Linked DNA regions of Macaca mulatta. The protein of the gene in region 1 binds, or shares a complex with, the protein of each later gene. Links are inferred from orthologs where the notes say so. Each region holds a gene or a part of one and is shown on either strand. Other genes may lie near its edges.

Region 1 (4,391 bases):
CATCCCTGGCCTCCACCCACTAGATGTCAGTATCATTTCCCCAGTTATGAAAACCAAAAGAAGTCTCTAGGCCAGGCACAGTGGCTCACACCTGCAATCCCAGCACTTTGGAAGGCTGAGGCAGGCGGATCGCCCGAGGTCAGGAGTTTGAGACCAGCCTGGCCAACATTGTGAAACCCTATCTCTACTAAAAATACAAAAATTAGGCAGGTGTGGTGGTGTACATCTGTAGTCCCAGCTACTCAGGAGGCTGAGGCTGCAGAATCACTTGAACCCGGGAGGTGGAGGCTGCAGTGAGCCAAGATCTCGCCACTGCACTCCAGCCTGGACAAGAGTCAGACTTGGTCTCCAAAACAAAAAAGTCTCCAAACATTGCCAACTATCCCTTGGGGGTCAAAATCCCTTCCTGTCACCTAGTTGATAAACACTGCTCTAAAGGAAAGGGTGGTGACTTTTATTATCCCCAATTTACAAAAGGGGAAACTGAGGCACAGAGGAAATCATCCACCACCACACAGTGAGCAGAACTGGGATGAACCCAGGTTTTGGGCCCCAGAGTAAAACACTCAGCCACATGCCAAGTAGCCTTGTAGTACATCAAGCATTATTCCAGGGGTCATCTCTAGTACTGGTTCCGCAGGGAGGCTGTCCCACTGCCCTGAAGCCTGGGGAGGCCTCCTCTAAGCTGTGGGACCCCACCAGAGGCTTGCAGAAGCTCCAGAAAACTTTCACTTTTACTTTTCCTGTATGCCCTCTCCATTATTTCTATTTTTCTTTCTTTCCTTCTTTTTTGAGACAGGGCCTCACTCTTATCAGTCAGGCTGGAGTGCAGTGGTGCGATCTTGACTCTCTGCAACCTCCACCTCCCAGTTCGAGCGATCTTCCTGCCTCAGCCTCCTGAGTAGCTGGGACTACAGATGCCTGCCACCACCACAACCAGCTAATTTCCTTACTTTACATTGTAGAGACAGGATCTCGCTATGTTGCCCAGGCTGGTCTCGAACTCCTGGACTCAAGCGATCTGCCCACCTCGGCCTCCCAAAGTGCTGGAATTACAGGTGTGAGCCACCACACCTGGCCTTCTATTTGAATTAAATCCTTTTCTTCTTTTCTTCTTCTTTTTTTTTTTTTTTTTTTTTTGAGACAGAGTCTTGCTCTGTTGCCCAGGCTGGAGTGCACTGGCACCATCTCAGCTCACTGCAACATCGGACTCCCAGGTTCAAGTGATTCTCCTGCCTCAGCCTCCCGAGTAGGTGGGACTACAGGCACGTGCCACAACACCTGGCTAATTTTTGTATTATCAGTAGAGATGGGGTTTCACCATGTTGGTCAGGCTGGTCTCAAACTCCTGACCTTGTGATCTGCCCGCTTGGCCTCCCAAAGTGCTGGGATTACAGGCACGAGCCACTGCACCTGGCCAATCCTTATTTTCTTTTAAGGAGGTTGGGACGGTCATGTTAGCCAAATCTGCAATACACAAGCCCACATTCTTCCCACGAGCACAAGTAGAAATCAAGAAGTGTTCATTTGAATGAACATACCTGAGGTCCGCAGCTTCTTCCTCTTTGTCATTTTATCTTCCCCTTGAGAAATCTGAAAACAAGCAAAATCTCTCATCATTATAAGCAGTCCCTGTCTCTGTTTATATCCAGTGGCTTTGGCTGAGAGCAGAGGTTACCCCCGCCTCCACCTCGGCTCATGTGGCTGCCCCAGGGGTCAGATGGCTCCCATTGGGACACAGCGTGGGACACAGAGTCACAGCTACTTTGGACCATGGCCAGGTAGGAATTCAAACCTCCTCCAAACTAAAGATCTTATGCCCAGGACCTGAAAGACAAATGGGACCTCGGGGGTCCTTATGGGAAGCCCCGGGGACCTACACTCTGGTCCCTGGGATGAAACAGCCTGTGTGAACCCTCCCTCCCGACTAGGGTATCTGGGGGCCCTTCCAAGGACACTTGAGGACTCTCCAGGGGCCTCTGGGGCCTTTGGAGACCAGCCCGGCCAATATGGTGAAACCCCCTCTCTACTAAAAATACAAAAATTAGGCTGGGCGCGGTGGCTCACGCCTGTAATCTCAGCACTTTAGGAGGCTGAGGTGGGCGGATCACTTGAGGTCAGGAGTTCCAGACCAGCCTGACCAATACGGTGAAACCCCGTCCGTCTCTACTAAAAGTACAAAAATTAGCTGGGCGTGGTGGCACACACCTGTAATCCCAGCTACTCGGATGGCTGAGACAGTAGAATTCCTTGAACCCAGGAGGCGGAGCTTGCAGTGAGCCGAGATCGCTCCACTACACTCCAGCCTGGGCGACAGAGCAAGACTCCGTCTCAAAAAAAAAAAAAAAAAAAAAAAAAAAAAATTAGCCAGGCATGGTGGCACACACCCGTAATCCCAGCTACTCAGGAGGTTGTGGCACGAGGATCGCTTGAACCCAGGAGGCAGAGGTTGCAGTGAGCCAAGATCGTGCCATTTTAAAGGGGACAGCTGCATCCTTGGAGGGGCAAGAGCTGCCACAGGCCGGTTTCTCCCAGCCTTGGGGGCCACGCAAGCCAAAACGGACCTGGGCCGCAGAAGTCGCTGAGGACCCTCTGTCCTTATCAGAAACGAACTCTGCCTGGATCCGTTGGGAATAAGTCGGTTGAATTATCAGCGTTTACTCTTTTTGGAAAAAATAAATGGCCAAATTGGCCCTCACAGAAGCCTGGAGGCCTCGAGTCGGGAGCTGAAGGATGGAAAGGCCTGAGGGTGGGCGCTGTGGACCCCGCTCCCGGTGACAAGCCCCACACTAACACTACGTCGACCACCGAAACTCCACAGTGAGTCCTCACAGTGAGTCCTTCCGCCCACGTGAAGCCGGAGCCTATCGGTGACTGAGGGACGCTGTGAACCTCACACAGGTCGCCGCCCCTCCCACCTGCGCTCGCTCTGCCTCTTTCCCGCGCCTCGCGAGGCCCCGCCCCGCGCATGCGCGACGCAAGCACCGCCCACGCAGCCCGCGACTGTGAGCACCGCCCTGCGAAGCGCATGCGCGCCCGCGCACTGCCTGCCGGGAGTTGTAGTTTCGGCTCGGCGGACCCGGCGAGTCCAGTGGCCGCGCTCCGGTGCAGCGGCGCCCGAGGCCCGAGGCGGAAGTGGGGCGGCCAAGCAGGGAGGCGAGGGCTCGGGATCGACGGCCGCGGAGCGCCGACGAGGGTTGCAGGACTCAGGAAGGGCGCGTGCGCGGCGACAGGGCCCGGGGAAGGAGGCAGGGCAAGGCCGGGCTTGGGGGCAGGTGGTTCGGGCATCCAGCCTGGAAGATGCACAAGAGGAAAGGACCCCCGGGACCCCCGGGCAGAGGCGCCGCGGCCGCCCGCCAGGTGAGTCTGCGCCCCACGGCGCGACCTGGGGATCCCTCCCCACCCCGGTCACACACTCAGGGAAGGGCCCCACCCCCCAGGGAGGCCCGATCTCCGCCCCCCAGGTAAACCCCGGTCCCCGCCCCCCCTCCAGGTGAGGCCCCAACCCCACTCAAGTGTGGTCTACTACTGGCCTTGGCTCCCCAGCTCCTGGGGCCCTGCCCCAGGTTCGGGGCCACCTGTTGCCACAGCTGCTCCAGTCGGGGAGGGGCAGTCCTCGGACTTGACACATCAAACCCTTGCATCAGTCGGGCCATGCCAGACTCTATTCCATTGTACAGATGAGGACGTTGAGACTCACAGACGTGAAGACATCTGCCCAAGGTCATAGGGATTAACAGCTTGGCCAGAGCTAAGCACAAATCCAGGGCCGCAGCCGTAAGCTTATGGCACTTATGGCACTGTGGCTGGGCCCCTTCTCCCTCTCCCAACTCCTCTGCCCCAGGCACCAGATAGTTTGATTTTTCTGTTTTCATGGAAGGAGCCCAGGACATAGCTTGGTGTTCAGATATTAGAGTCTGGCTGACCTGAAGTTCCCTCCTGGCCTCTGTACATTGGACATTTGACTTTACAGCTCTGAGCCTCAGCTTTCTCATCTGTAAAATGGAGACCTCTATAATCCCAGCACTTCAGGAGATGGAGGCAGAGGCGGGAGAGTCATTTGAGGCCAGAGTTTGAGACCAGCCTGGGCAAAAGCGAGACCCCCGTCTCAACAAAAAATAAAAGGACTAACTGGGCATGGCGGCATGTGCCTGTAGTCCTAGCTATTTGGGAGGCTAAGAAGGGAGGATTGCTTGAGCCTAGGAGTTCAAGACTGCAGTGAGCTGTGATCGCACTACTTCTGCTCCAGCCTGGGTGATAGAACAAGAATCTCTAAAATAAAAATTAAAAATTAAAAATGGAAGCCGGGTGCAGTGTCTCACACCTGTAATCCCAGCACTTTGGGAGGCCATGGCGAAACCCCATCTCTATTAAAAATACAAAAATTAGCT
Region 2 (3,808 bases), on another chromosome or scaffold:
AATATGTAGTCTTTTGCATCTGGCATACTGTTCTGAAGGTTTATTCGTGTTATAGCATACATCATTTATTCTTTTTTATTGCAGAACAAGATTCCATTGGGTAGATGTATCACATTTTCTTCATCCATTCACCACTTGATGGCCGTTTAGATTGTTTGCAGTTTTCTTTTTTTCTTTTCTTTTTCTTTTTTATTTTATAGATATAGGGTTTCGCCATGTTGGCCAGGCTGGTCTCGAACTCCTGGCCCCAAGTGATCTGCTCGCCTTGGCCTTCCAAAGTGCTGGGATTACAGGTGTGAGCCACCTTGCCTGGCCTGTTCCAGTTTTTGACTGTTATGAATAATGCCACTACAAACATTTGTGTACAAGTTTTTCTGTGGTCATATGTTTTCACTTTTCTTTTCTTTCTTTTTTTTTTTTTTTTTTTGAGACAGGATTTCGCTTGGTCACCCAGGCTGGAGTGCAGTGGTGTGATCTCCACTCACTGCAGCCTCCACCTCCCAGGTTCAAGCAATTCTTCTGCCTCAGCCTCCTGAGTAGCTGGGATTACAGGCGCGCACCACCATGCCAGCTAATTTTTGTATTTTTAGTAGAGACGGGGTTTCACCATGTTTGTCAGGCTAGTTTTGAGCTCCTGACCTCAAGCAATCCACCTACCTCCACCTCCCAGAATGCTAGGATTACAGGTGTGAGCCACCACATCCGGCCCTGTGATTCATTTTGAATTAACTTTTTTTTGCATATGAATATTCAGTTGTTTTAGCATCAGTTGTTGAAAAGACTATCCTTTTTCCATTGAATTGCATTGGCACCTTTGTTAAAATCAATTTTTTCAGTGTTTCACTGATCTATATGTCCATCTTTATACCAATGCCACACTGGTTCTATTTTGGTAGTTTTATAATTAGTTTGTTTTTTCCTCTAAATCAGGCACTGTTAGTCTTCTAACATTGTTCTTCTTTTTCAGACAATTTTTTAGATATTCTGAATCTTTTGCATTTCCATAGAAATTTTAGAATCAGATTATCACTTTGTACAGAAGTCGGCTGAGATTTTGATAGGGATTGTGTTGATCGGTTTGGGAAGAATTGACATCCTACCAATTTTTGAACATGGTATATCTATTTAGCCTCTTCTTTACTTTCTCTCAGTAATGCTGTGTAGTTTTCATTGTATAGGTCTTGCACTTTAAAAAATTATTCTTATTTTTGATGTTACTGGGAATGCTATGATTTTGAGTTTTTTTGTTTTTTTTTTTTTTTTTTTTTTTATATTATTGTACTGTGTGTGGAACCCTGCATTGGGGAATATCCTCCTGCACCTACCAAATGTGACTGTAGTGAGGAAAGTCCTGCCTGGTTATTCTCAGTAGTCTTTTTGTGGTCGTGCAGAAGAACCACCATACCCTGACTAATTGAGACGCAGACTGCTTAAGTTGTGAGAAAAGCTAGAATTCCAAAAGGAAGTGCTGTGACATAGTTTTCTTGATGTGTCACCATGATTTGTGTTCAGCTGCATACACTGGAAGGATGAATCTAGGAGTCCAGATTGTTGTTATAATGAAGACATTAAAAACTCAGAGTTGACAGGTCACATGATGCAGTATTAGCATGTGCCAGAGGTTCAGTGGCCGTTTTTTTCTTAAATACATGTGTGTGTATATGTATGAATGTGTATGAATCTCTGTGTGCCAAATGCATTGTCTCCAGGTAACTATGAGTGGGCCACCCTAATCCAAGTTACGAGGTCAACAGTATTGATTTGTGGCCCCAAAGCTCTCTTTTTCCTCCAGGGGGTGAAAAGCCCCCTCTATTTTTGTCTTGTATTCATCTCTGTAAAAGAAAATCTACAACATTTAATATACTTTAACTTTGTGGTTTATGTAACTCATTATATTTGGTATACATGAATTTGACTAGGGTTTTGTATTTTTCAGTTTTTGTCTTATTAAATCAGGAAATGCTATCACCTTTTGAGGGAATTTTAGGTACCTGGTGCTGGTGGTTGGAGAGGACAGAAAGCCCCACATCACTCCAGTAGTGCACTCAAGGTGAATCCTCCAAGTGTGCTTGTGTTGTTCAGGAGGGCCATCAGGATGGCCATTCCCTGTGTTTCCCCTGTGAAGAGAGCCATGGCGGAGACTTACCCAGCTACAGGTCACCTCAGACACTGCTGGTGGGAGAGTAGGAAACTCTTCCTAGCCTCCATCTTATTGTTAGACTGGCACTGGCTTGCTGCACCAGGGCATGAATAGGACTCCCAGCCTTCACAATTCTTTTTGCCCCTCCTCTCATCTTTCCTACCTGGTCTTAGGTTTTAGGTTTTCTTTCCCTGTTTAGCTTCACAGATTATATTTTATGTTTACTGGCACTTGTGGCAATATTCTCATGAGGACTTAAGGATATGTTTATATAGAATGAGTTTTTCTAAAGTACTTTTTTTTACAAATCCTGATGTCCAAGTGCCTTTTATTTGGCGTCTGCCTCTGGCAGATGGTGTTTTTTCAGTGGAGTGAGCCATTTGGAGGAGGCAGTCTCCTGTCTTAGAAATGTTGCTCTCTGGGTAAACTGCTTTGTGAGGTTGTTTTTGTTCAGAAGCCTCGGTTGGTGCTGGTTCTGAGTATAGTCACTTGGGGCTTGAGATATTTCATGTAGTTACTTAAAGCAGATGAATTCAGCTCTGTGGGTTTATCAACCAGAATATAGTAGTATGTTCTTTCCTCAGATATTTCTCAGATGTTTTTGCCTTTGAAATTTCTTCTGTAGATATAGATTATGGCTCTCTTAGGACTGGCTTTCATTTGCAACTATTTTCTATAATTATACATGCATTTCTTTAATAAATACCTTTGTGAAAGAGGAAATGTAATAAAGATATGTCACGGTTGAATGCTATTATTTATTTTTCGATTTTGCTTTGCTTTCAGGAGAAACTGGCTCTTCGACAGCAGCTGAATGAAGCGAAGCAGCAACTTCTGCAGCAGGCAGAGTATTGTACAGAAATGGGAGCAGCAGCTTGTACCCTCTTGTGGGGCGTCTCCAGCAGCGAGGAAGTCGTCAAGGCCATTTTGGGAGGAGTAAGTATGGTCAGTGGGCTCTCTAGATATTGTTGATTAATGCTTGTATAACTTAGAGCATATAGCTTATTAAGGCATTTAAAGACTAAGTCCCTATCTTTCCATTTTCTTGTGTTCGTTCATCAGCTAGTTATTGAATACCTATCGTATGTGGTTCATTGTAACCTGATGCAAAGTGAATGAAATAAGCCCCCTTCTCTCCAGGAGACCTTGTGGTATATGTGGACATATTACCACTTCAGTATTAATACTTTATATGTGTTTAATAAGATCAAAAGTGCTTTTGTATATATTATCTCATGGTTAATATAGTATTTAATTTATTGAATATATGTTCTCTAACATATACATGTATATAGATGTGTGTGTTTGTACACACACACACGTACATATAGATGCAGTTGAACCTTGAGCAACATGGAGGTTAGGGGCGCTGACCTCCTGTGCAGTCGAAAACCACATAGAACTTTTGACTCTACGGTTGGCTGGAAGCCTTACTGATAACATAAATAGTTGATTAACACATTTTTTGTATGTTAGATCATCATAAAGATCTTCACCCTCATCGTCTTCAAATTGAGTACATTGAAGAGGAGGAGGAAGAGTTGTTGGGTTGGCCTTGCTGTCTAAGGGGTGGTAGAGGTGGAGGAGGTGGAAGGGGAGGCTGGAGTAGCAGACACACTCAGTGTAACTTTTACTGAAGAAAATTCTTGTGTAAGTGGACCTGTGCAG

What was found.
Region 2: the proteins of BRME1 (region 1) and HSF2BP are in contact, whole or in part, in a crystal structure (PDB 7Z8Z), measured with the Mus musculus proteins. The link is inferred for Macaca mulatta from reciprocal best matches to the Homo sapiens genes BRME1 and HSF2BP. Residues at the interface, in NP_083321.2 of Mus musculus: Met541, Gln542, Asp543, Ala544, Thr545, Val548, Arg549, Leu551, Val552, Leu555, Ser556, Asn559, Ile562, Met563, Thr565, His566, Leu569, Lys573; in NP_083178.1 of Mus musculus: Glu23, Phe24, Val25, Lys26, Val27, Arg28, Asp31, Leu32, Arg34, Leu35, Glu38, Val39, Gln41, Ile42, Phe45, Leu46, Arg48, Ile49, Glu53, Leu54.

The regions. Positions count from the first base shown.
Region 1 is NC_133424.1:14,493,056-14,497,446, forward strand, and holds the start of BRME1 (break repair meiotic recombinase recruitment factor 1), read right to left. Parts: upstream 2,971-4,391; coding exon 2,833-2,970; exon of another isoform or gene 2,565-2,832; intron 1,594-2,564; coding exon 1,542-1,593; intron 1-1,541. Other genes in the region: CC2D1A (coiled-coil and C2 domain-containing protein 1A), read left to right, coding at 3,301-3,360. UniProt on the Homo sapiens protein: Meiotic recombination factor component of recombination bridges involved in meiotic double-strand break repair.
Region 2 is NC_133408.1:3,903,020-3,906,827, forward strand, and holds part of HSF2BP (heat shock factor 2-binding protein), read left to right. Parts: intron 1-2,926; coding exon 2,927-3,085; intron 3,086-3,808. UniProt on the Homo sapiens protein: Meiotic recombination factor component of recombination bridges involved in meiotic double-strand break repair.